Linked DNA regions of Callithrix jacchus. The protein of the gene in region 2 interacts with the protein of the main gene of each other region in a biochemical or structural test. Links are inferred from orthologs where the notes say so. Each region holds a gene or a part of one and is shown on either strand. Other genes may lie near its edges. The genes, in order: CDKN1B, CDC34, SKP2, PPARG, WWP2, CUL2 and UBA1.

Evidence for each region.
Region 1: of the proteins of CDC34 (region 2) and CDKN1B, one has a biochemical effect on the other in vitro, tested with the Homo sapiens proteins (3 studies listed by BioGRID, with this or other methods). The link is inferred for Callithrix jacchus from reciprocal best matches to the Homo sapiens genes CDC34 and CDKN1B.
Region 3: the proteins of CDC34 (region 2) and SKP2 form a complex in vitro, tested with the Homo sapiens proteins (3 studies listed by BioGRID, with this or other methods). The link is inferred for Callithrix jacchus from reciprocal best matches to the Homo sapiens genes CDC34 and SKP2.
Region 4: the proteins of CDC34 (region 2) and PPARG form a complex in vitro, tested with the Homo sapiens proteins (2 studies listed by BioGRID). The link is inferred for Callithrix jacchus from reciprocal best matches to the Homo sapiens genes CDC34 and PPARG.
Region 5: the proteins of CDC34 (region 2) and WWP2 form a complex in vitro, tested with the Homo sapiens proteins (2 studies listed by BioGRID, with this or other methods). The link is inferred for Callithrix jacchus from reciprocal best matches to the Homo sapiens genes CDC34 and WWP2.
Region 6: the proteins of CDC34 (region 2) and CUL2 form a complex in vitro, tested with the Homo sapiens proteins (2 studies listed by BioGRID). The link is inferred for Callithrix jacchus from reciprocal best matches to the Homo sapiens genes CDC34 and CUL2.
Region 7: of the proteins of CDC34 (region 2) and UBA1, one has a biochemical effect on the other in vitro, tested with the Homo sapiens proteins (7 studies listed by BioGRID, with this or other methods). The link is inferred for Callithrix jacchus from reciprocal best matches to the Homo sapiens genes CDC34 and UBA1.

The regions. Positions count from the first base shown.
Region 1 is NC_133510.1:10,589,263-10,593,387, reverse strand, and holds the start of CDKN1B (cyclin-dependent kinase inhibitor 1B), read left to right. Parts: upstream 1-1,325; 5' UTR 1,326-1,801; coding exon 1,802-2,276; intron 2,277-2,789; coding exon 2,790-2,911; 3' UTR 2,912-2,919; intron 2,920-4,125. UniProt on the Homo sapiens protein: Important regulator of cell cycle progression. Inhibits the kinase activity of CDK2 bound to cyclin A, but has little inhibitory activity on CDK2 bound to SPDYA. Involved in G1 arrest. Potent inhibitor of cyclin E- and cyclin A-CDK2 complexes.
Region 2 is NC_133523.1:502,222-505,362, forward strand, and holds part of CDC34 (ubiquitin-conjugating enzyme E2 R1), read left to right. Parts: intron 1-398; coding exon 399-485; intron 486-582; coding exon 583-680; intron 681-1,273; coding exon 1,274-1,408; intron 1,409-3,141. UniProt on the Homo sapiens protein: E2 ubiquitin-conjugating enzyme that accepts ubiquitin from an E1 ubiquitin-activating protein, and catalyzes its covalent attachment to other proteins by an E3 ubiquitin-protein ligase complex. In vitro catalyzes 'Lys-48'-linked polyubiquitination.
Region 3 is NC_133503.1:169,488,150-169,492,077, reverse strand, and holds the start of SKP2 (S-phase kinase-associated protein 2), read left to right. Parts: upstream 1-1,128; 5' UTR 1,129-1,296; coding exon of another isoform or gene 1,297-1,304; 5' UTR 1,305-1,445; coding exon 1,446-1,609; intron 1,610-1,787; exon of another isoform or gene 1,788-1,815; coding exon 1,816-2,087; intron 2,088-3,928. UniProt on the Homo sapiens protein: Substrate recognition component of a SCF (SKP1-CUL1-F-box protein) E3 ubiquitin-protein ligase complex which mediates the ubiquitination and subsequent proteasomal degradation of target proteins involved in cell cycle progression, signal transduction and transcription.
Region 4 is NC_133516.1:69,544,525-69,548,024, forward strand, and holds part of PPARG (peroxisome proliferator-activated receptor gamma), read left to right. Parts: intron 1-1,079; coding exon 1,080-1,307; intron 1,308-2,682; coding exon 2,683-2,852; intron 2,853-3,500. UniProt on the Homo sapiens protein: Nuclear receptor that binds peroxisome proliferators such as hypolipidemic drugs and fatty acids.
Region 5 is NC_133521.1:27,516,110-27,519,609, reverse strand, and holds part of WWP2 (NEDD4-like E3 ubiquitin-protein ligase WWP2), read right to left. Parts: intron 2,549-3,500; coding exon 2,389-2,548; intron 649-2,388; coding exon 515-648; intron 189-514; coding exon 48-188; intron 1-47. UniProt on the Homo sapiens protein: E3 ubiquitin-protein ligase which accepts ubiquitin from an E2 ubiquitin-conjugating enzyme in the form of a thioester and then directly transfers the ubiquitin to targeted substrates.
Region 6 is NC_133508.1:34,722,559-34,726,858, forward strand, and holds the start of CUL2 (cullin-2), read right to left. Parts: upstream 2,801-4,300; 5' UTR 2,597-2,800; intron 2,503-2,596; exon of another isoform or gene 2,349-2,502; intron 2,172-2,348; exon of another isoform or gene 2,065-2,171; intron 1,927-2,064; 5' UTR 1,846-1,926; intron 1-1,845.
Region 7 is NC_133524.1:48,150,585-48,154,821, forward strand, and holds the start of UBA1 (ubiquitin-like modifier-activating enzyme 1), read left to right. Parts: upstream 1-1,437; 5' UTR 1,438-1,541; intron 1,542-2,041; exon of another isoform or gene 2,042-2,333; intron 2,334-4,237. UniProt on the Homo sapiens protein: Catalyzes the first step in ubiquitin conjugation to mark cellular proteins for degradation through the ubiquitin-proteasome system.

The DNA.
Region 1 (4,125 bases), on a different chromosome or scaffold from region 2:
GCAAAATGTATTAACTTTGGCCCAAACCGAGATGATGGGTACGGGGCATGGGGGTGGGGAGAGCAGCTGAAGATCCACTGAGCTTTGTCTCAGGGCAGCCCTGCTCGTCGTCCTACTTTACCTTCCACCACGGTGCTCAAGCCCACAATGAGAGAAATTTCCAGCTGCAAAAGGGAGCAGAGAAACGCTGGAATATCGGACATTAGGACATGGTTTGGTGGCTTTAAGAATCATTTCATCATCTGGAGTTTGGCCCCGAGGGGAGTATTTTCACCCTTCAGCCCTCTGAAAGCATTCACTAGCATCTGAATATTGTTCTGAGTTTGTTGGAGCAGTGAAATCTGGTGAGAGAGAAGGGTGGAGGAAGGAAGGAGCTGTTGTATTTGGCGGCTGGACCCAGGTAGAGGAAACTGCTACAATCCCGGGAAAGAACTGAAAAGTAGAGAGAGACAGTTCCCACACGCAGCCGACGTCCATGGCCTTAACTCTGCTTGGGAAGCAAGAGCCTGGGCCAGGGGTGTAACCTCGGTTTTCAAAACTGAATGTGTCTGGGACAGCTACAGCGTTTATTAATGGACTTGAGAGACTACTCGAGTTTTTTTTTTTTTTAAATCTTGAGTTCCTTTCTTAATTTTCATGGAGAGAGAGCTTGAGTTTATGGTAAGTGCCGCGTCTACTCCTGGCTAATTTCTAAAAGAAAGACCTTCGCCTTGGCTTCTTCCCTAGGCCTGCTACCTCCCCAGGGATGGCAGAAACTTCTGGATTAAGGCTGAGCGAACTACCACCCACCCCCAGCTAAGGCAAACCGGCCGGGGCGGTGCCCAGCCCCTCCAGCAAACGCTCCACGGCCTCCCCCACAGGCCGCGAGGTGGGGGCCACTGGGGAAGGTTGAGCTGGGGGCAGCTCGCCACTTCGGCTCTAAGCGAGCTGCTGGTGACCTTCGAGGTCCTCTGGTCTAGGCCCCCGGCTTCCCGGGCAAGGAGCGGGAGGTCGGGACTTAGGCGCCGCGCCGGGCCCCGAACCCCAGGCCCCGCCCCAGCTTCCCGGCCGTTTGGCTAGTTTGTTTGTCTTAATTTTAATTTCTCCGAGGCCAGCCAGAGCAGGTTTGTTGGCAGCAGTACACCTCCAGCAGTCACGCGACCAGCCAATGTCCCGGCGGCGCTCGGGGAGGCGGCGCGCTCGGGAACGCGGGGAGGAGGCGGAACGGCGCCGGGGCCACCTTAAGCCTGCGCTAGCCAGCCTCGGCGGGGCGGCTCCCGGCGCCGCAACCAATGGATCTCCTCCTCTGTTTAAATAGACTAGCCGTGTCAATCATTTTCTTCTTCGTCAGCCTCCCTTCCACCGCCATATTGGGCCACTAAAAAAGGGGGCTCGTCTTTTCGGGGTGTTTTTCGCCCCCTCCCCTGTCCCCGCTTGCTCACGGCTCCGCGACTCCGACGCCGGCAAGGTTTGGAGAGCGGCTGGGTTCGCGGGACCCGCGGGCTTGCACCGCCCGGACTCGGACGGGCTTTGCCACCCCCTCCGCTTGCCTGGTCCCCTCCCCGCCCCTCCCCGCCCTCCCACTCGCCAGTCCACTTGATCAGCGGAGACTCGGCGGCTGGGCAGGGGCTTCTCCGCAGCCCCATCCCGCAGACCCTGCGCGCTCCTGTAGCTCGGGCCGTGGCTCGTCCGGGTCCGTGTCTTTTGGCTCCGAGGGCAGTCGCTGGGCTCCCGAGTGTGGTTCGGGCTGCGTAGGGGCGTTTTGTTTTGTTTCGTGTTTTTGAGAGTGCGAGAGAGGCGGCCGTACAGACCCGGGGGGAAGATGTCAAACGTGCGAATGTCTAACGGGAGCCCCAGCCTGGAGCGGATGGACGCCAGGCAGGCGGAGCACCCCAAGCCCTCGGCCTGCAGGAACCTCTTCGGCCCGGTGGACCACGAAGAGTTAACCCGGGACTTGGAGAAGCACTGCAGAGACATGGAAGAGGCGAGCCAGCTCAAGTGGAATTTCGATTTTCAGAATCACAAGCCCCTGGAGGGCAAGTACGAGTGGCAAGAGGTGGAGAAGGGCAGCTTGCCCGAGTTCTACTACAGACCCCCGCGCCCCCCCAAAGGCGCCTGCAAGGTGCCGGCTCAGGAGAGCCAGGATGTCAGCGGGAGCCGCCCGGCGGCGCCTTTAATTGGGGCTCCGGCTAACTCTGAGGACACGCACTTGGTAGACCCAAAGACTGATCCGTCCGACAGCCAGACGGGGTTAGCGGAGCAGTGCGCAGGAATAAGGAAGCGACCTGCAGCTGACGGTAATGGCCCCTTCCCAACCGTAGATTGTTTGTGTCTGGGGGCCCGCTTTGCCTGCTGGAGGGTGTTAATCTCAGCTTGTTTTCCGGCGTATTCTGATTTAATTTTGGAAGGGCTAACTTTTTTGGTCTTAGGTTTCCAGTGCTACCTGACCCACTGCTTGTCTGTTTGTAACTTTTAAGTCAGAAACTGGAGATGGTAAGATCCGATAATTTCCCTAATTTAGGACGTCGCAGTCCCTCCCACTAGCCAGCCTTAGGTATGTGACAAAGTTGGGATGTTTATCAATGGTCCGCCTCCTGGCTAGCGAGAGCGCTCTGGGGCGGAGAATGCACTTTCTGTTTTTTGAAAACAACCTCATTTTGTGCCCTTAAAGGCCATTTGGGATGACGGATACAGGATTGTGGGTGGAGGTGGTGGGTTTTTCATCCCCTAAATATCGGGCCAACTTCTGCATCCATTGTTTTTTCTAACAAAGATTGTGTGTTCTTTTTAAAAATTTCCCCCACTCTTAGATTCTTCTACTCAAAACAAAAGAGCCAACAGAACAGAAGAAAATGTTTCAGACGGTTCCCCGAATGCCGGTTCTGTGGAGCAGACGCCCAAGAAGCCTGGCCTCAGAAGACGTCAGACGTAAACAGTTCGGTGGGTTTGATCAGCAAAGGAGCACGCACTGAAACCCAGGGCCTTCAGAACCCACGACACCTGATCTTACTGTTTGCTGGCAGATTAAAAGCCTGTGGGGTTTTGTTTTGTTTATACTTCGTGAGGTCAAAAAAGTAGCGATTGGGAAGGCTGGGAATCACTGTGGGGATACTGTAATTCTTCAAAGTTTCTTTGCCCGAAGATACTTTCTCTTGAAATAGTAGACCAGAGCAGCTACTGTAACCAAGGCCCCGTCGGGTAGGAAGGGCATTTTTCTGTGAGTCCTACTGAGACATATAACAATAAGTTCTTTCCCCATCTGAACAAGAATTGGGGTACTCCCTCAGTCCCACTTCATGAGAGTTAATTTCCCAGAGGTTCAGTTTGAGTCTGTAACATTTTTGAGCCATACATGGAAAAATGGCAAATACATAATTAAGTTTAAATTTTGAGGGGAATATGTGGTAGAAATTGCTCACCTTTGGTGATGCAAGGGATTGGAGATGTGAATAGGGTGTTGTTATGTTGTGTTCTGTCTTTGACATTTTCATAAACGGTCACTTTCCCTGTTCTAGAGAGTTTGTAGAGAGAAGGAATCAGTATTTACAAAAAGCAAAATGGAAAGATAAAAAAATTACTAAAGTTTCTCAATTTCTGGGAACACTCAAGTTGCAAAGCAGAAGTTAGATTAACTCTGTCAGTAAGCAATCCGTGAACAGGTCAGCCAGTGTATGCTAATTGTGCTGTAATAGGGTGATTTGATATTTGTAGGGGAAATGGGTAGTAAATATCAAGACTGGTGACCGTGGGTCAACCCAGCACAAAGGAAGTGGAGATTTTTCCGTACTCAATCTGATCACCGTTAATAGCTAATTTGAATAATTCAGCCCCCAAATGTACATGGATTAGCTAGTCATAATTATCGAATTAACATACATATTAAGTTTTTTAGTGTCTTATAGACCAAGATTGTGACCTCTTTCTTTTTTAAAGCACATACATAGCTTAGCATATGAGGCGATCTTGATAAATATTGTTAACTTATTAAATCCTCATTTATAAAAATTTTAACAGGGATTAAGGTGGGATTCAGGTTTGTTGTGTCTTTAAATTGTGTATTCGACTTCACTATACCTTGTATTTTTCAGAGCTTATACAGAACGGTACTATAGAGCCTGTTTCATAGTACCATATGAAGTGAGAAAA
Region 2 (3,141 bases):
CCGAGAGGAGCCTGGAGTCCCTGCCAGTCCGTTCTGACTGCTAGTGGGTGTCCCCGCCCGGGTCCCATGTGCCTGACCTGGGCTGCTCATGCCCACGTTCCCCAGCAGCTGTGCAGAGTCGGGCCCTGGCCATCTGGACTTGTAGGAGCTGTGATCAGCTCAGGTGACTCAGAAGGCTTGAGGCCGCCTGCTGGGGACTTGACCCCACGCACCTGAGAGTCCCTGCCTTGGCCCGGATGGAGTGTCCCTCATACAAACCGTGCCTCAGGCACACGGCCTGGGCCTTATCCTGGGAGCACCAGCACTGGGAGTGGGATGGCTTCAGGTTCCCTGTTAGCTGGGGCAGGGCCTGGGGCCAGGGCTAGCTGAGCCAAGCCACAGGCTTTCTGCCCATGCAGGCACGCCTCAAGTTCCCCATTGACTACCCGTACTCTCCACCGGCCTTTCGGTTCCTGACCAAGATGTGGCACCCTAATATCTATGAGGTGAGTGCAGCCCCCATGGGCCTCACGTCCTCATCGTCTGGGACCGGGGGGCACTGGGAGCCAGTGCTGACCTCTGACCTGTCCTCTCCCTGTGCAGACGGGGGATGTGTGCATCTCCATCCTCCACCCCCCAGTGGATGACCCCCAGAGTGGGGAGCTGCCTTCGGAGAGGTGGAACCCCACCCAGAATGTCAGGTAGGCTACCTGACCGCCCCCCCCCGCCATGTCCAACGAGGACATCAGGTAGCCCGGGCTCCCTCCCAGTCTGTGGCGCCGAGGCTTGGTTCGGGACCTGCCAGCTGGCAATCCTGGGCCTCCCTACACCTGCATGGTGGGCGGTTTCACAGGGCTTGCAGCGCTATGGTGTCTGTGTGGACTCCCACCACCCCAGGCCAGCCCCACGGTCTGGAACGACCTAGAGGTGCCCCTCCTGCCCCAGTCCTGGGGTCTTCTCCTTCCCCAGCCATCTCTGGATTGGTCGCCTCATGCCATGTGTGCCCCCCGGGCCTCATCCCCAGGTACAGGCACTGGGCCTTGTTGCCGGCGTGTCCTGGAGTACAGCCCAGGCTGGATGTACGGGCATGAGGGCAGCCCCAGGTCTGACGGACGGGGTCTGCCCTGCTGCCCTCCCTGGTCCCGGCATGGGAGGCAGGAGGCTGGTGCAGTTCTAGCCCCTGCTGTTCTGGGGGCCCGAGACACAAGCAGATGCTGTGAGGGCAGATGAAGGTCACCTGCTGGGCGGGTCCAGGGTTCCCCGGGCAGGTCCACTCCAGCCGCTCTCCCCACAGGACCATTCTCCTGAGTGTCATCTCCCTCCTCAACGAGCCCAACACTTTCTCGCCCGCCAACGTGGACGCCTCCGTGATGTACAGGAAGTGGAAAGAGAGCAAGGGGAAGGATCGGGAGTACACGGACATCATCCGGTGAGGGCAGGGGGGTGGGCGGGAGGAGAGACTCCAGCTGGCAATCCTGGGCCTCTCTACACCTGCACGGTGGGCAGGCCTGCAGCTGCCCAGCCCCACTGTCCTGGTGAGGGCGGAGGAGCTTCCTGTTGCTCCTTCACAGGGCAGCGGTCACAGGTGGAGGCCGGGCCCAGCGTCTTGCCCCTTTTCCTCTTTTCCTCCTGTTTTTGAGGCAGAGTCTCACATTCTGGCCCAGGCTAGAGTGCAGTGGTATGATCTCGTTTCCCTGCAGTGTTCACCTCCCAGGTTCAAACAACTCTCCTGCCTCTGCCGCCTGAGTAGTTGGGACTACAAACTGCGACTACAGGCCATGTCTGGCTGATTTCTTTGTATTTTTAGTAGAGTCAGGGTTTCACCCTATTAGCTAGGATGGTCTCGATCTCCTGACCTCAGGATCTCGGTCTCCATGGTGCTAGGATTACAGGCGTGAGCCACTGTGCCTGGCCCCCTTTTTTTTTCTCCCTGAGATGGGGTCTGGCTCTGTCACCCAGGCTGGAGTGCCCTGGCTCAGTGCGGCCTCAGCTTCCCAGGTTCCAGCTATTCTCCTGCCTCATCCTCCTGGGTAGCTGGGTTTACAGATGCCCACCACCATGCCCGGCTGCTTTTTGTAATTTTTAATAGAGTTGGGATTTCACCACGTTGGCCAGGCTGGTCTCGAACTCCTGACTTCAGACGATCTGTCTATCTCACCCTCCCAAAGTGCTGGGATTACAGGCGTGAGCCACCACACCCGGCCTAGTGATTGATGTTTCTGTAGATTCTTTCAGGCTTGTCAGTTTACTTATGTCTCTGCTTTAATGAAGAACAGGGGCCGTGCTGTGTGCGCCCTGGTGACTGTTAGTCAGCAGTGTTGCTGTTACTCATGTGGGGAGTGTGTCCCTGCAGGCGCTTGGCCTGGCAAGCTCTGGCTGCAGCTGTGCAGCCTACCAGTGCCTTCCCTACCTGCGGTCCGCCTCCCCTGTGTGGCAGCTGGTAGCTCTCCGTGTGCTGTCCCCGTCACGCCCAGAGCTGAGCCCCACAGCCCCTTCTCTTGGGTGTCTGTTGATGTGGATGTGTGAACATGTGCGTGTCTGTACAGTCAAGCTTCCTGATCTTCCTGTTACGTCGAGGCGCTTCCTTTTCTCTGAGTCCGTTTCCTTTTCTCTGAGTCCGTTTCCTTTTCTCTGAGTCCGTTTCCTTTTCTCTGAGTCCGTTTCCTTTTCTCTGAGTCCGTTTCATTTTCTCTGAGTCCGTTTCCTTTTCTCTGAGTCCGTTTCCTTTTCTCTGAGTCCGTTTCCTTTTCTCTGAGTCCGTTTCCTTTTCTCTGAGTGAGGTCACAGGGATTTGCTCGTGGAAGCCTCAGTGTTTTTTGTTTGTTTGTTTTTCGAGACGGAGTCTTGCCCTGTCTCCCAGGCTGGAGTGCAGTGGCACGATCTCGGCTCACCGCAACCCCCCCTCCCAGATTCAAGCAGCTCCCTTGCCTCAGCCTCCCGAGTAGCTGGGACTACCGGTGCCCGCCACCATGTCCAACTAAATTTTTGTATTTTTGGTTTTCTGTTTGTTTGTTTGTTTTGAGATGGAGTCTCACGCTGTTGCCAGGCTGGAGTGCAGGGGTGCATTCTTGGCTCACTGCAGCCTCCCTCACTCCAGGTTCAAAAGATTTTCCTGCCTCAGCTGAGTAGCTGGGACTACAGGCACCTGCCACTGCACCTGGC
Region 3 (3,928 bases), on a different chromosome or scaffold from region 2:
CGCATGGTCATTGTACCTAGAATATGTCACCCTCCCTACTTTAACCACCTCCAAAATCTTCTCAGCAGATAGGCTGAAAACAGCTCGCTTTTAGGCGGCGACGCAAACACACGTAGCCCGTTGAGCGTCAGCGAGCAACCAAAAGTCTTTGCTGGAGGACCCCTGCGTTGCATGGGTAAAGCCCGTTGCAAAATACAGTCCTTTCATTTATTCCCATGCTACTATTTATGAGAGCTGTCAAGGCTGCAAGGGCATGCGCAGCCTTCCCACCACCCAGGACCCGCTGGGGTCTTCGGCTCCCCTAAAATTAAACCACTGTTTTTCGTTCCAACTGCGTTTTTAGGCCGGGCGCTGTGGCTCACGCCAGTAATCCCAGCACTTTGGGAGGCCGAGATGGGTGGATCACCTAAGGTCAGGAGTTCAAGACCAACTGCGTTTTTAGCTATTGTGCGTATTTTACAGATAAAGGAAGGATCCTGTCCACAGACCCAATGCTAAGGGCCGCCTTCTCCCCGAAGGAGGAAGCAGCTTCCTGGCAAAGGGACAAACAGGTGTGACGCCCGCGGTTCGCAGCCTCTCACCTGGCTGGCGAGCTGGGCTACAGCCACCACTCAGCGGCCAGGGACGTGGGCCCCGCGGCGGGCGGCGGCGGCCACTCGGGGTCTCCCGGGTCTCCTCTTTTGCCGCCTGCTCTCGGCCCCGGTCCCCAGACACCAAAGCGTCTCACGCGTTCCCTCTCAGGCTCACCGTCCGATCTCGCCAGACAACGTCTGGATGGGACCATGAAACGGCGGCCGCCACAGCTGTCCAGGTTCTGGGATCCACACTCAGAGACGACAGCGCTGGCGATCACCAGAAGGCCTGCAGGCTCCCGGGAAAGGAATATCCGTCTGCAGTCAAGTGGCTGACATTTCCCAGTCAGTCTTAGCGCCGCCCGCTTCCGCCTCCCCGCCTACCCCGTGGACCAGCCAGTCCCGCTCCCGCGGGGGGTTGTGGGTATCTCGAAGGCGGGCAAAACTGCCAGGGAAGGAAGTAAGGGCGAGCCAGTCGGACTACGAAACAGGACGGAAACTACAATTCCCAGGAGGCCGTAGGGCCGCAGTGCCCCGCGAAGCAGAGCGGGCTTGCAGAGTCTTGCGCGCGCTGCTGGGATGGAACGTTGCTAGACTTAGCGGGTCTAGCTGCTGGGGGCCCGAGCACCACGCTCGGAGCCGCCGCGCGCCAAAGCGGGAATCCGGGAGGCGGGAGGCTCTGCAATTAATGCACGTATTTTAAACTCCCGAACCTGAGGACGCTATGCACAGGTAAACAGATTGCAAAAAGTGGAAGAGCATGAATGGACCCTCTTAATAATTCTTTTAGGCCGCGAATATCGCTACTGGCTAATATTGTTAGTAATGCTGTTAAGTGAATGGTTGCTTAGCCCCTTCTTGGGAAAAGTGTGAATGGTTGGATGCTTTAGTGCGGGGATCAGCGTGCGGTTTTATTTGGCTTCCTTAATTGGGCTTTTCTGCCACCGTTTTCAATCAGTGTATGATTGCCCTCTCTCTCTCTCTTTCCTTGTCTGTTCCCTCCACTGGGAGAAATTCTTGAGGCCTTCTGCAGGATCGTAAGTCAAAAAGCCTTTTCGATTTGTTCTTTGAATTTCTTTTTTTTTTTTTCTTGAAAACTCGCCGCGAGCATGTAAAAAAGGCGATTCTGTTAGCCACTGTGAAGGTTCTCTACAATGCATAAATTCCAGCTTCTTTAATGCCTCACTTGGGATTATTTATGGGTGTTTTCGAAAGGAACCGGGGGTATTGTGCACTTCTGCAGGAAGCACCTCCAGGAGATTCCAGACCTGAGTAGCAACGTTGCCACTAGCTTCACGTGGGGATGGGATTCCAGCAAGACTTCTGAACTGCTCTCAGGCATGGGGGTCTCCGCCCTGGAGAAAGAGGAGCCCGACAGTGAGAACATCCCCCAGGAACTGCTCTCAAACCTGGGCATCCCGCAGAGCCCCCCAAGGAAACGGCTGAAGAGCAAAGGGAGTGACAAAGACTTTGTGATTATCCGCAGGCCTAAGCTAAATCGAGAGAACTTTCCAGGTAAGGCTATGAGGGTAAAAAATGTCAGTTACGCAAAGGGTGGATTTAGCTATGCTGTTGGGAAACCTTTGTTCAGGGATCTTTACCATGGGTTCCTTTTAAGATTGCCTAATTCCGAAGTTATTTTTTCAACAAAATGGGGGAAGTCGTCAAATATGCAGGAATCTTGGTGGGTATATATGTTCTGGTGCACAATCACCTTGAAAATTTTAACCCGTGAGAAGACACTCCTGCCTTTATCCTTAGAAGGGAATCTGCCTGCCCAAAGGCCAGCTCGGTGCCACTGATGAATAGAAACATAAACAGTGGTCTTCTTGTAGGATTCCTTTTGCTTTGTACCCCTGAGTGAGCTTTTTGTCTTAATCACTTTAGGTATTTATCAGTGGATTGCTAAAGTGAATGTTTACCTAAGTGGAGGAGATTTATCTCCCCAGGTTCGCTCCCACTCCCATATTGGCTTCTCCTGTGTGTTCTGTCTCCATTACTGCTGATACTATCTTGTTTAATTACCCAACCCAAAAACCTGGAGTCAGTAAGATTCCCACCTTCCCACAATATCCAGTCGTTCATCACATCTTGTCCTCTTCTCTGGTAACTATTTCTCAAGTTCTCATCATCTCTTGCCTGAACTATTGGAGTAGATTTATAATTTCAACCTTTTCTCCCCAGATCTATCCCACAGAACCAGAATGGATTGACTGAAATGTAGAACTCGCCATATCTTCCCTCCTTAATAGCTCCCCATCCCCTAGTTTCTCAAGCAGGTGAACGGGTGCCTCCCAGAGTGAACCAGAACCCTGGAGTATGCAAAAGCCATAGGGTAAACATAGGGCATTGACCTGGGGTTATCAGTTTTTCTTGCTAGTAAGACGTTTAAAACAGTAATACAGCAAATATTTGCTGAGCACATACCATGTGCTAGGCAGTGTTCCAGGTGCTGGAAATACAGGAGTGAATACAACATAAACATTTCTGCTCTCAGGGAGCATCCATTCTAGTGAGAGAATACAATAAACACAATAAATATGTTGAGGTAGTATGTTAGAAGGTGATAAGTGCTATGGCTAAAAACACAAATAGAACAAGCCAAGAGGGATTGCAGGTCCTTGGGTGGGAAGATAGAGTGCACTTTTAAACCAGGTATTGAGGGAAAGCCTCAATTAGACAGTGAGCTTTAAGCAAAGATGTAAAGGAGGCCAGGGAGTGTGCCATGCAAATATTTTGAAGAAAAGAGCTCCATGCAGAAGGAACAGCCATTGCAAAGACCCTGGTGCATAAATGTGACATGCTTGTTCCAGGAACAGGGAGGCCGTATTCTAAGAGTGGAAGGAGCAAAGGGGAGAGTCGGGGAGATCAGGCTGGAGGTAATGTTGAGCAGAGTTGTGATGGGACCCAGTTTAACCTTTGAAAAAGGACACACTGATGTGTTGAGACTCAATTGCAGTTGTGCCAAGGGTAGAAACTTGGAGCTTTTTAAAATTTTATATTTTCAAGACGGAGTCTTGCTCTGTCGCCGAGGCTGGCGTGCAGTGGCATGATTTCAGCTTTTGGCTCACTGTCTTCACCTCCTGGATTCAAGTGATTCTCCTGCCTCAGCTTCCCATGTAACTAAGACTACAGGCATGCACCACCACACCCAGCTAATTTTTATTTTTTATAGAGATGGGGTCTCACCATCTTGCCCAGGCTGGTCTCAAACTCCTGGACTCGGGCAATCCTCCAGCCTTGGCCTCCCAAAATGCTAGGCTTACAGGCATGAGCCACCACACCTGGCCAAAGCTTGGAGTCTTGTTGGGGGTGAAGGTGGTCAGATTCCAGATATATTCTGATGTTAAAGTCAA
Region 4 (3,500 bases), on a different chromosome or scaffold from region 2:
GTAAACTGGGTGGTACTTGACACAGAAAGACAAATACCACATGATCTCACTTAGGCATGGAATCTAAAAACGTCAAACTCATGCAAGTAGAGAGTAAAATGGTGGTTGCCAGGGGCTTGAGAGTGATTGCATAGGGAGATGTCAGCCAGAGTTTCAGTTACGCAGCATGAGTTCTGGAGACCTAAGTGTAGGTCACCTTCAGCATGGTGACTATAGTTAGTGATGCCGTATGGTATATCTGAAATTTGCTAAGACAGTAGATCTTAAGTGTTCTCACTACACATATTCATACTTTAAAAGGTATGTGAAGTGATGAGTATGGTCATTAGCTTGATGATGGTAATCATTTCACAGTAAATACATACATTAAAACATCACATTGTATACCTTGTTTTTTTGTTTTGTTTTGTTTTTGAATGGAGTCTTGCTCAGTTGCCTGGGCTGGAGTGCAGTGGTGTGATGTTGGCTCACTGCAACCTCCACCTCCTGGGTTCAAGCCATTCTCCTGCCTCAGCCTCCCAAGTGGCTGAGATTATAGGCACATGCTACCACACCCAGCCAATTTTTCTATTTTTAGTAAAGACAAGGTTTCGCCATGTTGGCCAGCCTGGTTTCAAACTCCTGACCTCAGGTGATACTCCTTCCTTGGCCTCCTAAAGTGCTGGGATTACAGGTGGGCCACCGTGCCTGGCCTGTGTGCCTTAAGTTTAAAAATTTTTGTCTATTATACTTAAATAAAGCTGGAAAAAATTTTAAATAACAGCAGTCATTAACAGACTCAATTGATGACCTTCTGTAGAAGATAATGAGAGCAGAACTGTTAGCAAGACACTTATATGAATATACTATATGTGTCTGCACTGTTTCAGGATTCTCTACTCTGATAGGTAAAGGATGACTTCCTTCCTATCATAAAACAGCCTGAGCAGCACTGAGAAGATGGTTATGTTCTTTTCTCGTTTTAAGAGCCTAGAAGAGATTACTTCGCCAAAGACTCTTTCATTTCCCTTTCTGGAACTCTGTGACATTGCTCTGTTCTCCAGGACTTAACTTCATGGCTGGTCTATTTTTCCTTTCAGAAATTACCATGGTTGACACAGAGATGCCATTCTGGCCCACCAACTTTGGGATCAGCTCCGTGGATCTCTCCGTAATGGACGACCACTCCCACTCCTTTGACATCAAGCCCTTCACTACTGTTGACTTCTCCAGCATTTCTACTCCACACTATGAAGACATTCCATTCACAAGAACAGATCCGATGGTTGCAGATTATAAGTATGACCTGAAACTTCAAGAGTACCAAAGTATGTTTATTTTCATTTTTCAGACTCCTAAGACTGGAATTGGACTAATCTCTCAGTAACCCTGTAATACTCCAGAGACTAGAACACTAATAGAGAAGGCATTCATCATTGATTTATTCACCCATTTATCCATCAAACATTAGGTATCTATGAAATGCCAGAAAGGAAGCTGGCGCCAGACCAATCTTGCCTTTCCCCCACTCTATCCTTCCTCTCTTCTTTCCTGTCTTGCTTACTTCCTTCTTAGGGACATTTTCTACCTTGATTACACTGCCATTTGTATCTCTGGCTAAGAGTCCATCATCCACGCTTTGAATTCTTTTGGCCTTTGTAAGTTAATAAGTAACAGTTCCAGGTCACCTGATATTTATTATATAACTTATCTTCACTAAATTACTGCTACTACAGTACATTTTTTTCTAATTTGTCCTTTCAGAATTTTATACTGAAACCTACTTTTGAGCACAAATTTGTCTTAACATTGTAGTCTATTGATAAATTTTCATGCCATTAACTAAATTAACATCAAAACATCAGATGCAAGAAAAACAAGAGCTGCACTTTTTGAGATAAAATGTATTTCTGTGATGCTGTTTCTTTGATTTTTATCATGTGTGGGCTGACATGCTGGTTTTCCAGAGCCACCACTATGTAACTGGCAACCATTACTTGACAATAAGTAAGAACTTCCTGTATTTCTGGTGGTTTTTAAGATAAATAATATGCTTAGTTATATTTATCTGTGTGGTTTTTAGTTAGAGCCTAATATGGAAATTTAATAGCCATGGGCCTAACTAGTAAAAGGTAGGCCGGACTTCCATTAAGTTCCCCCACCCTCTGTCAAAGATTATTTCACAAACCACGTCTTTTGACTGAACACTGATGGTAACCTGGGCTCTTATTTTTCTTGCACCTTGAAGCTAGGCATTCACAGCAGTGTTCCTTTTGTGGTTCTTTTGCAAGCACTGTTCCAAAGTACTTCTAAAATTTAATATTTAAATAAAATGTATAATTTAATATTGTGATGAATACCGAAGACAGAACATTTGCTAGCAAAATAAGCTTCCTTGTCTCAAAGCCTCTCTGTTGTCTGTTAAAGCTGTAGTATTGCAGGGTACTGGGGGTCATAGAACCACAGACTTAATTCCCGTTCCCATTTTAAATTTACAGGTGAGGCTTAGCGATGTTGTAACTTGACTGTGATTACACAGCCTTCTTTTTCTTGCCTTAACTCTAGTGTTTTTTTCATGTCCCATTGTGCTTTTATACTGAAACAATACAAATACAGCATGAAGGTGTACTATGGTGGCTTGCCCTTTTGCCTTTTTAGGACTGTTTTCATGGGATAATTATCCTCTCACGTTTCTATACACAGGTGCAATCAAAGTGGAGCCCGCATCTCCACCTTATTATTCTGAGAAGACTCAGCTCTACAGTAAGCCTCATGAAGAGGCTTCCAACTCCCTCATGGCAATCGAATGTCGTGTCTGTGGAGATAAAGCTTCTGGGTTCCACTACGGAGTTCATGCTTGTGAAGGATGCAAGGTAATTAAAAAAAAAAAAAAAATCTTTCTTCAAAGAAATCGTTGAAACCTTATTATTTCATTTGAGCAGAACCCTTTCTTTAGGTGATAAAAAATATGAATTTTTTCTTCTTAGAAAAGTGTCTTGTTCTGTCACCCAGACTGGAGTACAGTGGTACAATCAGAGCACACTGCAGCATTGAGCTCCAGGGCTAAAGTGATCCTCCCACCTCAGCCTCCCAAAGGATGATGTAATATTTGAGAGCCTAAGAAAGTGGATAAAAGCAGGGCTGCTTTACCCCACATTCCTTTCTCCAAATTGATTCTTTGAGACACTGATTTAATTTAACCCTTGCATCTTGCAGATTTTTACAAAGAGTGACTTCTCCAAGGTGTCGTGGGAAGACAGTGATGATTTGGCACCAGGATGCAGATTTCCTGCATTCCCTAGTTGTTTGTTTATTTTTTTGCTGTGCCATGTAATATTGTGTATACACAAGATTTTACAGATTATTTGTATATACATATCTTTGGATCCCTAGAGCAATCCTATAAGGTTGGGCTTCTTTATGGCCACATTACAGATGTAGAAATTATGAGTTTGTAAGACTTGCCAAGGCCATCCCTTAGTCAACGGCAGCCCTCAGTCTAGACTCTGACTCCTTAGGTG
Region 5 (3,500 bases), on a different chromosome or scaffold from region 2:
ACCTGCTGGGACTCCTGGAGCAGAGTCCCCCGGCACCAGAGACTCACATGATGTACTCTTCCTTGTTCTCCTCCGTAACCCGGATGCTCTCGCCGCCCTCCTTCAGCTCGTGGGTCGTCACCTTGCCCAGGATCTCCATGTCCTGGATGAAGTACAGCTCCAGGCCACACTCTTCCAGGTTGTTCTCTCTGGGGGCACAGGAGACCAAGCGGGAAGATGTCTATAGTGGCGGGGTCTTTCCTGGGTCCTGCTTTGTTGCCTGTGGGACACCAAGGCCTCACAGGTGGCCTAGAATCCAGAAGAGTGACAAGCAACAGCTCCCTGACTCAAGGAGAGAATTCTAGAACTGTCCACAGAAGGCAATTCTCTCCACAAGCTCTTATAAAAGCTGCATGAGAGCTCAGGGGACACTCTGGCAGACAAAATCCAGGCCATCAGCACCTACTCCCCGCCCAGAGACATCCCTCCTATCAGTGCAGTGGGGTGTGGGGGGTGGTGGGGGCAGGGGGCTCACTTGATCCAGACAATGGAGTTGTAGAACTCGGGGTCGATGGACTCCAGGTCTTTCAGGGTTGGTCTCTTGTTGAGCATCCGCTTGTAGAAAGGGAGGGTAAAGCCCGTGTCAATGAACTTTCCGTGGTACAGCGCCTGGGAAGGAAGAGGCACAGCACAGAGCTTTGGCTTCCCTGGGCACCACCAGACCAGCTCTCAGATGCTCCATATCAAACCCCACCACAGCCACCTGCCTTCCTTCCCTGACAGAATCGCAGCAGCGGCTGCCTCAGGGGCACAGCAGGAGGGCCAGGGGAGTAAACGACACCTTTGTCCTAACTTGTACCTGCAGGTGGCCCCCAGCCTGCCCTGCAGAGCTCAGGGACTGGGCCGAGCTGGCCGGCGTGGGTACCCATGTCCAGGCCTGCATCTGCCCCATGCACTGGCCAGCTGGCCCCGGGCTAGCAAAGATCTGTCCCATGCTCACAGAAAAGGCTTGCTCCAAACAGCTCCAGGTGGCAGCAGCCCTGACTCACTGGTGCTCAGGGCGGGTGGCAATGACAGCCAAAAATAATGCAGACACCGCTGACGGCGAGAGCTGGCGGCCAATGGTGAGTAATAGTCTAGGGTTTTACCGGTCTGTCCTGTTGGCTGCTGGGCCAGGCGGGTCTCTAGACCTGGGAAAAATGTGCCCACTTCCACAGCCCAGCACCTTGGCCAAGAACTCCCAGGCGATGGGAAGGGCCATATTTAGTCATAGACTCCTGGGGAGCTTGGGTCCTCATAACAGGGAAGCAGGGCAGGACACTCAGGAAGGCAGGGGAAGAGGCGAAGGAAAGTGAGAATTGAAACATCTCAAGCTATGAATGTAGCTCCCAAGCTGTGGCTCCCACGGGCCCCGCTTCTCAATCCAGGTTCTCACACTCTCAAGACCCTCAACAGAGGGCACGTGGCAGAACCTCCCTTTCCATATTCACACCATGTCCCTCTTTCCAGTTAAACACAGATGCGATGCTGTGACGCCTCCCCAGAAATGGCCCACATTCCAACAGATGTCCCTACACCCTGCACCAGCCGGTCTGCCAGGGTTTCGTTCTAAGCTAGCATTGATTCCAAATGTCCTTCCAGAAGGCTTAGTGTCTCAGTGGGACATTCCCAAATGCCGGGACAGTGTCACCTCCCAGAGACAGGCAGCAGGTGGGCAGTTACGGTTTCACTCAGCCCTGTCATCCCAAGGCCCTCAACAGAGCACATATTTAATGTTCAGTAAAGTCTGTGGCCCCGAGACCCTGGCTTCCTCTTGACAAGTCCTATACAAAGCAACATGGAAACTTCACTACCTATATGGCAGCCACTGAGGAAAGCTCTGGTTTCTCCAGAGCTCTCGCTAGCTTTTTGCATTTTATTTTTAAAAGACAGAGTCTCGCTATGTTGCCCAGGCTGGAGTGCAGTGGCTATTCACAGGCACGATCCCACTACTGATCAGCATGGGAGTTTTGACCTGCTCCATTTCTGACCTGGGCCAGTTCACCCCTCCTCAGGCAACCTGGTGGTCCCCCGCTCCCGGGAGGTCATCATATTCATGCCGAACTTAGTGTGGACGCCCAATCAGCATAGGGCACTACAGCCCAGAATCCTGGGCTCAAGCGATCCTCCCACCTCAGCCTCCCGAGTAGCTGGGACTGCAGGCACGTGCCACGGCGCCTGGAGCTTTTTGCATTTTTACTTTACGAGTTCTATGGGGGTGAAGGGTGGGGATCAGAGAGGGCACACCAGTCCACAGGGGCTGCTATTCATGCCACGTTGCCTCCTGGTGAACAGGCCCAGGGCCTCCTCCAATGCTGCCCCTTCCTGGAGGTCTCAGAGGAAGAGGAGATTCCCCTGTGGCCCCCTTACCATGGCGATGAATCTGCCGATAAAGCGGAAGTAGGTGAGGTGGTCCGGGTTGATGGAGGAGGCGGGGTTGATCTGCAGGCAGTAATTGTTCTTCCCCGCGTATTCAAATAAACAATACATAGGGTTGAGCACCTCGTGAGACAGGAGGAAAAACCACTCTCTGTGAGGGAAGAGAAAGAAAAGACAAGAATAACGGGTCCCTTAGTGCACATCTGCACAGGAGCTGTGACTCTCCTCCATTGTGTCTCAGGTAGTCTGCGGACACGTGTTCCAAGGAGTCCAGTCCCGTGACAAGTGCCCGGGCTAACCTATATGAAAAGCTGATCAGTGAACAGGGCAGGCTGAGACCTAGAGTGAACCAGGGTGGGGTGGCAAGTGCATTTGAGGATGAGGTTCAGGAAAACGTGTGCCTGTTGGCTCCCAAGTGATGTGTTCCTGTTCCTAGACTTTACATCACAACATCCAGAGCGTCTAATGCTAAAGGGGGTCCTTGTACCCTGGGTCACCATGCTCAGCTGCATAGGCTGTGTACTGCACAAGGACACGATGCATGTTTATTACAATGATCTTTCTGCAAAGGTTCTGTTTGAATAGCAACGACCCTGCTTCCACTCTACCTGGACGGGCAACATAACATAAATACACAGCACCACATTCCCAATCCTGATCCATGAAAATGTCATCCGTACTGTCTTCCGATTAGAAACCTCACCCCCACCAACTATGCCACAGGCATCTCACTTCTCTTACACTTTGCCCTCCCTTCACCTCCAGACCCCCCACACCATACCCGTGCCCACACTTCCACGCATTCATCTGAACCAACACCCAGTCCCTGGTTTCGAGCCTCAAGCATGAATTCAGAGTCCTTTTGGGCTTGAGCTAAACCAGCCAGGGGACGTCCCAAGGGGGCCAGTCCCCGGCGGCTGGGCTGTTTGTGGCTGGGCAGACGAGGAGTCCTTCGATGCAGAGGGTGTCCCGGTATCCTGTCCGTGGTTCTACCCTGTGGTAGAACAGCATGACGTAACCTACCATAGGGTAAAACCACTGGCAGGACACAGAGAGAGACACACACAGGGCGCGGCCACACCAGAAGCCCACCAAGCAGAGCC
Region 6 (4,300 bases), on a different chromosome or scaffold from region 2:
TCGTCTCAGTACACAGCATCATCATCCTCCAGCAGAAGCCAAAAACCCCTGTCCCAACTGCATGCTCATCCAAAACATGACAATTTCAGTAAGTATCTTCAACTCCAAAACACATCTCAAAACATTTTCACTGGTTTCCTTGTGTGTCTCTTTTCCAAATGGCAGTCTGATTCTCAATCAGACCTTACCACTCCCAGTTTAGAAGAGTTCCAAAAGCCTCTTAAAGCTTCAGAAGAACAAAAGCCAACATGATCCAGCCCCTGGCTAGGACCTACCCTTAATCTCTCTCTTTTTTTTTTATTTTAAAAAAGAGAGCAAAGTCTACTTTTGCAGTCTGAGTTAAGAGACCAGGGAAGAGCCCGAACACAGTCCACTTTAAGCCACTTTCAGTTCGTTGGATCCCAGCTTGATAGCACCTCAAGGCTTCTCCATTTGATCCTCCCTAAAATAGAAACTTTTCCCTCAGAATTTCAAACTTTACCTCGGGAAGGTCTTCTCAGATTATAGTATCTGAAGTAATCCCCCAGCCACTACCACAACTCCTTACCTCATTTCCTACACAGCACTTACTCTCTGAGATTATCTGTTTACTGTCTGTCTCTCCATCCCAAGCCAGAATTGATACTCCGAGAAGATAAATTTAATGTGAAATTTAATGTGTCTTGTTTACCCTTGTATCCTTAATGCCTGCAGTGCTCCTTGGCAAATAAACCAAGTGCTTAATATTTGTCAACTGACAGATATTTTTTTTGTAGACACGGGGTCTCACCCCCCGTGTCTACAAAAGGCAAAAATGACTTTAAAGAAGTTCCACAACATTTAATCTCCTGACAGACTGGTGAAGATAAAAGACATGGATAATCTTCACATTTATAGAACACTGAAAGCCACCAAAGAGGATGGAGAATAAAGAGTATTTCAGAGGCAGGAGAACAACCAAATACTCAAAAGGCAACTGAAAAGGAATTTTTCCCAGGCTATGTGAATGCACACTGTAGAAATGTTCCAACTCATAAACAGCAAATAAAATTTAAAAAAAAAAAACGGGTAATTCAAAACGCTATGGGCTGGATGCAGTGGCTCAGGCCTGTAATCCCAACATTTTGGGAGGCCAAAGCAGGTGGATCACCTGAGGTCAGGAGTTCGAGACCAGCCTGGCCAACATGGTGTAAACCCCATCTCCACTAAAAATACAAAATTAGCCAGGTGTGGTGGCACATGCCAGTAATCCCAGCTACTTGGAAGTCTGAGGCAGGAGAATTGCTTAAACCCGGGAGGCGAATCACACCACTGCACTCCAGCCTGGGTGACAAGAGCCAAACTCCATCTCAAAACCAAAAAAACTATGTACTTCTGTTATCTCACGTGACTCTTTTGGAAAGATCTTCCCAGATACTGCATACGGTCAAAAGAAAAAGAAGCAAAGTATAGCTAATCCTTTCGTGTGTCTGTCCTGAAAAGGAATGTAAGATTCTAAAGGGCAGACAACAGTATTTTGAATGTTTTTAAGTGATTATTATGTAGTCAGTTGTCAATCCGATCAAAGTAATTATTTCCCATCATTACTACGAAGATAGGCTTGGAACAAGTCTAGTTCAAAGACGTTTATGTGTTGAACAGTCACAATCTATATTGAATGTTAATAGTATGTATCTTCAAAATTTAAACGCCCAGAGTAACTGGCCTTCAACTAGTAATATTTTAATCCATGGGACAAAGGTGTGGGCTTAACATTAATAACAGCCTACAATTCACGAATGTTTTATTTGCATGCACATAACGGTAGGGAATGGTCCAGACTCCCTAGAGGGTAAGCAAGTGCTAGAAAGCGTGTGAGGATCTTACTTCAGCAGACCCTAAGTGTTGAGACAAGAGGTCTAACATGCACGTAGGATACTCCTCCCCAAAGCTATCAATCTTTGCAGTCTGCGGAAACAAAAGTGAAAATACTCGTGGTAAGGATGCATGAGATTGATAACCCCCCTCCCACACACACACACGCAAACACAGAGTTGTGTATTCGTGTGAGCACGCAAATATGCAGAAGAGTACACGCACTCTCACCTTCCCTCCTTCGGAGGAAAATGGGGCCGAGGGAGAGGCGGCCAAGATCGGGTTGGGGAGGCCTGGGATCCAGTCCAGGGGGGTGGCAGGGCTTAGGGGTCAGCGCTCTGGGGAGCCGAGGTCACTTACAGGACACCATCTTCCCGGGCCTCCCCCCTTCATCCCTCTCCCCCGACCTCGTCGCCCCTAACTCCTCTCCTCCGCCCCAGCCCCGCCACCCATTAACCGGGAAGGGAAGTTTCCCGGCGCCTGCTGCCCGGCTCCCCGACCCTCAGCGGGGTTACCTTCTGCAGAAGCGGGGCAAGGGGCAGGGGACAAGGGGAGGGGGAGGCAGCCCGAAGGAGTGAAGGACGAAGCCCCGGCGAGGAAGGTGGGCGGAGGCGGCGGCGGCGGCTGTCAGCTCGCGTTCCCCCGCTCACAGCGCAGCCATTACTGTGCGCCGAGGCCGCCTCCCCGGCCGGCCGCCGCCACCAACCCCGGAGACGCGGGGGGTGGGGAGCGAAGCCCGGGGAGCCCGCGCGCCGACACTCACCTGTCTCCGCGAGGAAACACAGCGAAGTCCAAGGCCGCCGCCGCTCCGCGGCGGGGCAGGGGCGGTAGGGAGGGGGGTAAAGGGGAGAAGGACGGGCCGATTACGGGATCTGTAAAACAATCGTCCTCCTCTGCACCCGGCTTTGCTCAACACACACCCTCCGGTCTCCTTCTTCCGCTGCTGCCAAATTCCCCCTCGGAAAGCAATGGTAGAGACCTCGTTACGGCAAGCGCAGGGAGCCAAGCTTCGTGCGATTGCAAAAGGCCACGGAAATTAATATTCCAGGGATGCCCTGCTGGGCTTGCTGTCAATGAGGCAATTGCGGTTCGCTGAGCGGTTGGACACAGTACCCACCCACTATCCATTAGTCCAGGGACTACTAATAACAATGTGGGAATGGTACTTTCATCAGAAGTATGTTTTCCTTGTTTCAGACCTATGTGAAGAGCCTAAGACAGCACAATCCTCTTGCCACACACTGCCATGGGCTTTGCAAATGATCAAAAATATATTAGCAAAACTACTTTTTCTCCCTGACAAACTCTTTTTCTAGTGGGTTTTTATCTACAGAGCAAGTCTTGGACATACATGTATTTTCAATAAAGAAACTTCACATCTTTGTCACTAATACCTCACCTTCACCAAGCCCCAAGCATATCAGCTTGAAGGATCTTCCTCCCTTGGAGTTTTTCTTCCTTCTTTCTTTTTTTTTTTTCCCCTCTAACATGGATCATAGGAAACAACCTCCCTTGGAGTTTTAAACAGTAAAGTTGACAAAAATGTAGAATTACTCATCACCTCCTCATATATGCAAGACCACAGAGGAACAGAAGCCCAGCTTTAGTGCTTTCTGCCTTTCATATCTTCAAGAGCTCACGATCAGGGTCTTGTTCATTTGTACCATTCAGCAAGCTTTTCCCTCCCACCCCTTCCTTCTAAACTGTGCCAACTCTTCAAGGCCTGTTTAAAACCCTGCCTCCTGGCCGGATCAATCCCTAGAGTCTTCCTCCTCTTCTAATCTGCTCTTCATGGTATATGAAGTCTATATTCTTTATTTCAGTAAAGAGTTTTTATATACTAAATTCAATTCAACAGTATGTTTCCATTATGTGACCTTTTTTCCTCCCACGTTTTCCCCCCTTTTAATCTGTGCCGTCCCCAGACCCCTGGAAATCCCTGAGGCCTTTACAGAGGTCACAAGGTTAACAACTAGTTTGTCAACAATGCAACATTTCTTGTCCTTTTGTTTCTTTTTTTTGGATACAGAGTCTTGCTCTGTCACCCGGGCTAGAGTGCAGAGGTGGCACGATCTCAGCTCACTGCAACCTCCATCTCCCAAGTTCAAGCCATTCTCCTGCTTCAGTCTCCTGAGTAGCTGGGATTACAGGTGCCTGCTACCATCTCTAGCTAATGTTTTGTATTTTTTAGAGACGAGGTTTCACCATGTCACCATGTTGTCCAGGCTGGTGGTCTTGAACTCCTGAGCTCAGGCAGATCACCCACCTCGGCGTCCCAAAGTGCTAAGATTACAGGTGTGAGCCACTGTGCCAGGCCCACCTCCCCCCCGCCTTTTGACACAGGGTATCCCTCTGTCCCTGAGGCTGTAGTACAGTGGCCCAATCATAGCTCACTGAGTGTCCCATCTCAGTTTCTCAAGAAGCTGGAACTACAGGCCTGGCTAACTTTTGTATTTTTGGTAGAGAG
Region 7 (4,237 bases), on a different chromosome or scaffold from region 2:
GCTTCGGCGACAGAGCGAGACTCCATCTCAAAAAATAAATAAATAAATAAATAAATAAAAGTCATATCCTGCCGGGCACGGTGGCTCACGCCTGTAATCCCAACACTTTGGGAGGCTGAGGCAGACGGATCACTTGAGGTCAGGAGTTCGAGACCAGCCTGGCCAACATGGTGAAACCCTGTCTCTACTAAAAATATAAAAATTAGCTGGGCGTGGTGCCTGTAATCCTAGCTACTCAGGAGGGTGAGGCAGGAGAATCGCTTGAACCTGGGAGGCAGAGGTTGCAGTAAACTGAGATCGTGCCACTGTAGTCCAGCCTGGGCGACAGAGTGAGACTCTGTCTCAAAGAAAACAAAACAAAACAAAACCAATAACCTCGGTGAAGCCTAGAAGGAAGGGCCACTCTCATACATCGCTGGAGGCAGTGCAAAATAGTATAACCGTCTCTTCCACCCTCCCTCTCCCTCTCCTTTGTCTATTTTCCTGCCTCCGCAGGGCTCACTGTGGGAACACAAATGCACCCCACTACGCCCAGCTAATTCTTTGATTTCTTATAGAGACCAGGTGGTGGGGGGTGGGGTGTCTCACTCTGTTGCCCAGGCTGGTCTTAAACTCCTGTGCTCTAGCAATCATCCCACCTCGGCCTGCCAAAGTGATGGGATTACAGACATGAGCCACTGCACCCAGCCAAGACTCCATTTATTAAAAGGCTAAAGAATTTTGCTGGGCGAGGTGGCTCATGCCTGTAATCCCATCACTTTGGGAGGCCAAGTGGGCGGTATCGTCTGAGCTCAGGAGTTCGTGGCGAAAACCCGTCTCTACTACGATAACATATGTAAACATAGAAAAGATAACAGTAAAAATTTGTCTGTTACAGGACCATTGACCGAAACGTTATCCAGCACATAATTTATATTACTGTGTATAGTCACAGATATCTATTCTAATACGGATTTGCATGTGAAACTATAATCTTACTTATTGTTATGTTTATGGTCTGTGTCTCTTGCTGGAATGTCAGCTCCATGAGGTCAAGGAAGAATTTCCAGCACCTGGCCCATGTCAAATGAACATTTTTGGCCACCTGAGGCTCAGTCTCCCCATCTGTAGGATGGGTGTGCCATATGGAGGCACCCACACGTTCCGCCTTCTTTTCCCACACCACAGAGCACGGCTCCCGGAATTCCACAGCCCAGGCTTGCATTTTCCCATATTCTGGGCGCTGGTGCCCACCACGTGCACCCGGCACTGGCCAGACAGAACTACCACCCCCAGCATGCCGCGCGCATTTGGGCCGTACTACAATCTGTAGGGGCATCTGGGTCTGAAACGGGCACCAGCAACACGGGAGCAGGGACTGACGCCCCTTTAGCAAAGCATCTGTGGTACATCCCAGACCCGGGGCTCTCCGAGGCCCCGCGCTTCCGAGCTCGGCGCAAACTCTGGCTTCTCTTGTACGACGGAGGTGGTTTGCTCTTCCGTTGCCCCGTGGCTTCAGCTCATCTTCGGCAGGAAGGCGAGGCTTCCGCCCGGCGCAGGTGGTAAGCTGGAGCACTGTGCCCCCAAGTGTCTGGACAGCATTTGGAGGAGGGTGCTTCCCTAATTCCAACTTCGGGGATCCCCTAATGGGCGTATTTGGAGCCTCTGGGCCTGGTGTGATATTTAGGGGGCGTCTGCTTTTGAGGAGACCCTTAGGGGGTGCCCTTTGGGGACTCCGGGGTGGGATTTGGGAGTCTGTTTGGGAGAGCACCCCTCGGAGGCAGGGTTTGCAGGGCTTTGGGGAGATTCTCAGGGTCCGTGTATGGGCACCCTTGTCTATGGAGCAGGATTTGGGTTATTCTTCAAGGGGAGAAGTAAAGTTTGAGGTTACTAAAGTCAAGGCGGGACCGGAGGAGGGCTTATTTCAGGACGGGGTGCTGGTGACAGTGCGAACAATCGGGACCGACGTGGCATTGTGGAGGTGTCAGGCCTTTGTGACCTCTGGTTCTGTGATGAGGTCCTCCCGTCGTTTGAGACTCAGGACTGCCAGGCTGGACACGTCGGGGGCCCACAAGTTTCTAAGGGAGAGGGGCCTCCCAGCTCAGGCTGGGGAAGGGACGCCGGAGCCCCGCTCTTCCTGGGCGGACGCGGCGCCACCCGGCCTCTGTTGGTGGCGGCTTTATTCATTATTCATAAGGAGGTGGGGCTGTGGTGGGAGGCCGTTTTTTGCCTCTTACACACCTAGTCCGCTAAAGGTAATTGTTTGTGAGTTATTCACGAGGGGCGGATCAGCGTGCTGAAGGGGCGTTCTGAAGTCTGCCGCGCAAACTAGAGTTCATTGATAATTCGCAAAAGTAAGTAGCGCCTTGAATTTTCTGTGATTTTTCTAGGGGCTCAGTGCTTAATTCACGCGGAGCATGGCTTTTGCAGCTTCATCTTCATGATCTGTGGTTAGCCTTCCCTTACAGGTACCAGGGTTAAAACTTGGCGTCTATCGAAGGGATGAGGCCTCCTACGTTCGTTTCTTATAGTCCGGTAGTCCTAGATAATCAACCGAGGCTCTGGATTCAAATCCCATCGATCGTTTCCAGTTGTGTGATCTTTGGCAAATAGTTCTGTGAGCCTGAATAATGGGTATGAAGATAATGATGAGATAGCTTACACTCATTTAGCCACTTAGCACATTTCATCTTCACGACAGTCCTAGGAGGTAGGTTATTATTACCCCACTTTATAGATAAGGAAACTGGGACACAGAAAGGCTAAGTAGTTTGCCTAAGATCACACAATTAGTGAATGGGTGGGCCTGGATTCAAACCGGGGTGTAGTTCCACAATCTGTAGTTTTAACCAGATGCCATCATGTCTCCCCACCCTACCCCCGCCGCCATTTAATAGTACTACTACTAATATAACATTTAGTATGTGCCAAGCACTGGTCTAAACCCTTTGTACATATTTCTTCATTTAAATTCCATCAGTAGGTAAGTTGCTGTTGTTATTCCTATTTTATGGATGGGGAAACAGTGGCCCAAGTTGGGGGTTTCTCTAGTGGTTTGGTATGCCTTCACTCACAACTAATTTTATATTAATGTAAATATATATTTACATATCTCAACATATTACCTTTATATTAATATATAATATTAAAACAATTTTAACAGTGCCTTGTGCCAGCACTGTTCTAAGGCTCATCCCGTAATTCATATTCTCTGATTTTCTTTTTTTGAGATGGAGTTTCACTCTTGTTGCCCAGGCTGGAGTGCAATGGCATCTCGTCTCACTGCAACCTCTGCCTCCTGGGTTCAAGCGATTCTCCTGTCTCAGCCTCCGGAGTAGCTGAGATTGTAATCTCAGCTGTAGGTGCCCACTACCAAGCCCAGCTAATTTTTGTATTTTTAGTAGAGACGGGGTTTCGCCATGTTGGCCAGGCTGGTCTCGAACTTTTGACCTCAGGTGATCCACCTGCCTCAGCCTCCCAAAGTGCTGGGATTACAGGCGTGATCTGATTTTCATAATAACGCATCTTTGGGAGGTGGATGGGCTCTATTACTGTCCTCATTTTACAGTTGTGGAAACTGAGGCACCTGCCAAATACATGTAGTGAGTTAAGGTTTGATTGGACCAAGACAGCCCTGGTTCCTAAGGGGGAGAATCGGGGGAGGCATGTGGAGGGGAGGCGGGGGCAGGGAGTACATTCCCCCTGGGTTTCTTGGTGGCGCTGCAGCGTTATCTTTCGTTATTTTATTTATTTATTTATTTATTTATTTTTGGGACGGAGTTTTGCTCTTGTTACCCAGGCTGGAGTGCAATGGCGCGATCTTGGCTCACCGCAACCTCCGCCTCCTGGGTTCAGGCAATTCTCCTGCCTCAGCCTCCTGAGTAGCTGGGATTACAGGCACACGCCACCATGCCCAGCTAATTTTTTTGTATTTTTAATAGAGACGGGGTTTCACCACGTTGACCAGGATGGTCTCGATCTCTTGACCTCGTGATCCACACTCTTGACCTCGTGATCCACCTGCCTCAGCCTCCCAAAGTGCTGGGATTATAGGCGTGAGCCACCGCGCCCGGCCTCTCTTTCATTATTCATGAACAGGAAGGCGTGGTCACTGCATTGGCTACAGCATCATAATCCCTATTTGCTGGGCAGGGCATTCTTGAGTGTTTCTTTGCCTTATGCACAATTCATAATTGGGTGGGACCTTTCTTGACCTCTCTGAGTTTCTAGGTTGAGCTACTGCAGCAGCATAATTCAT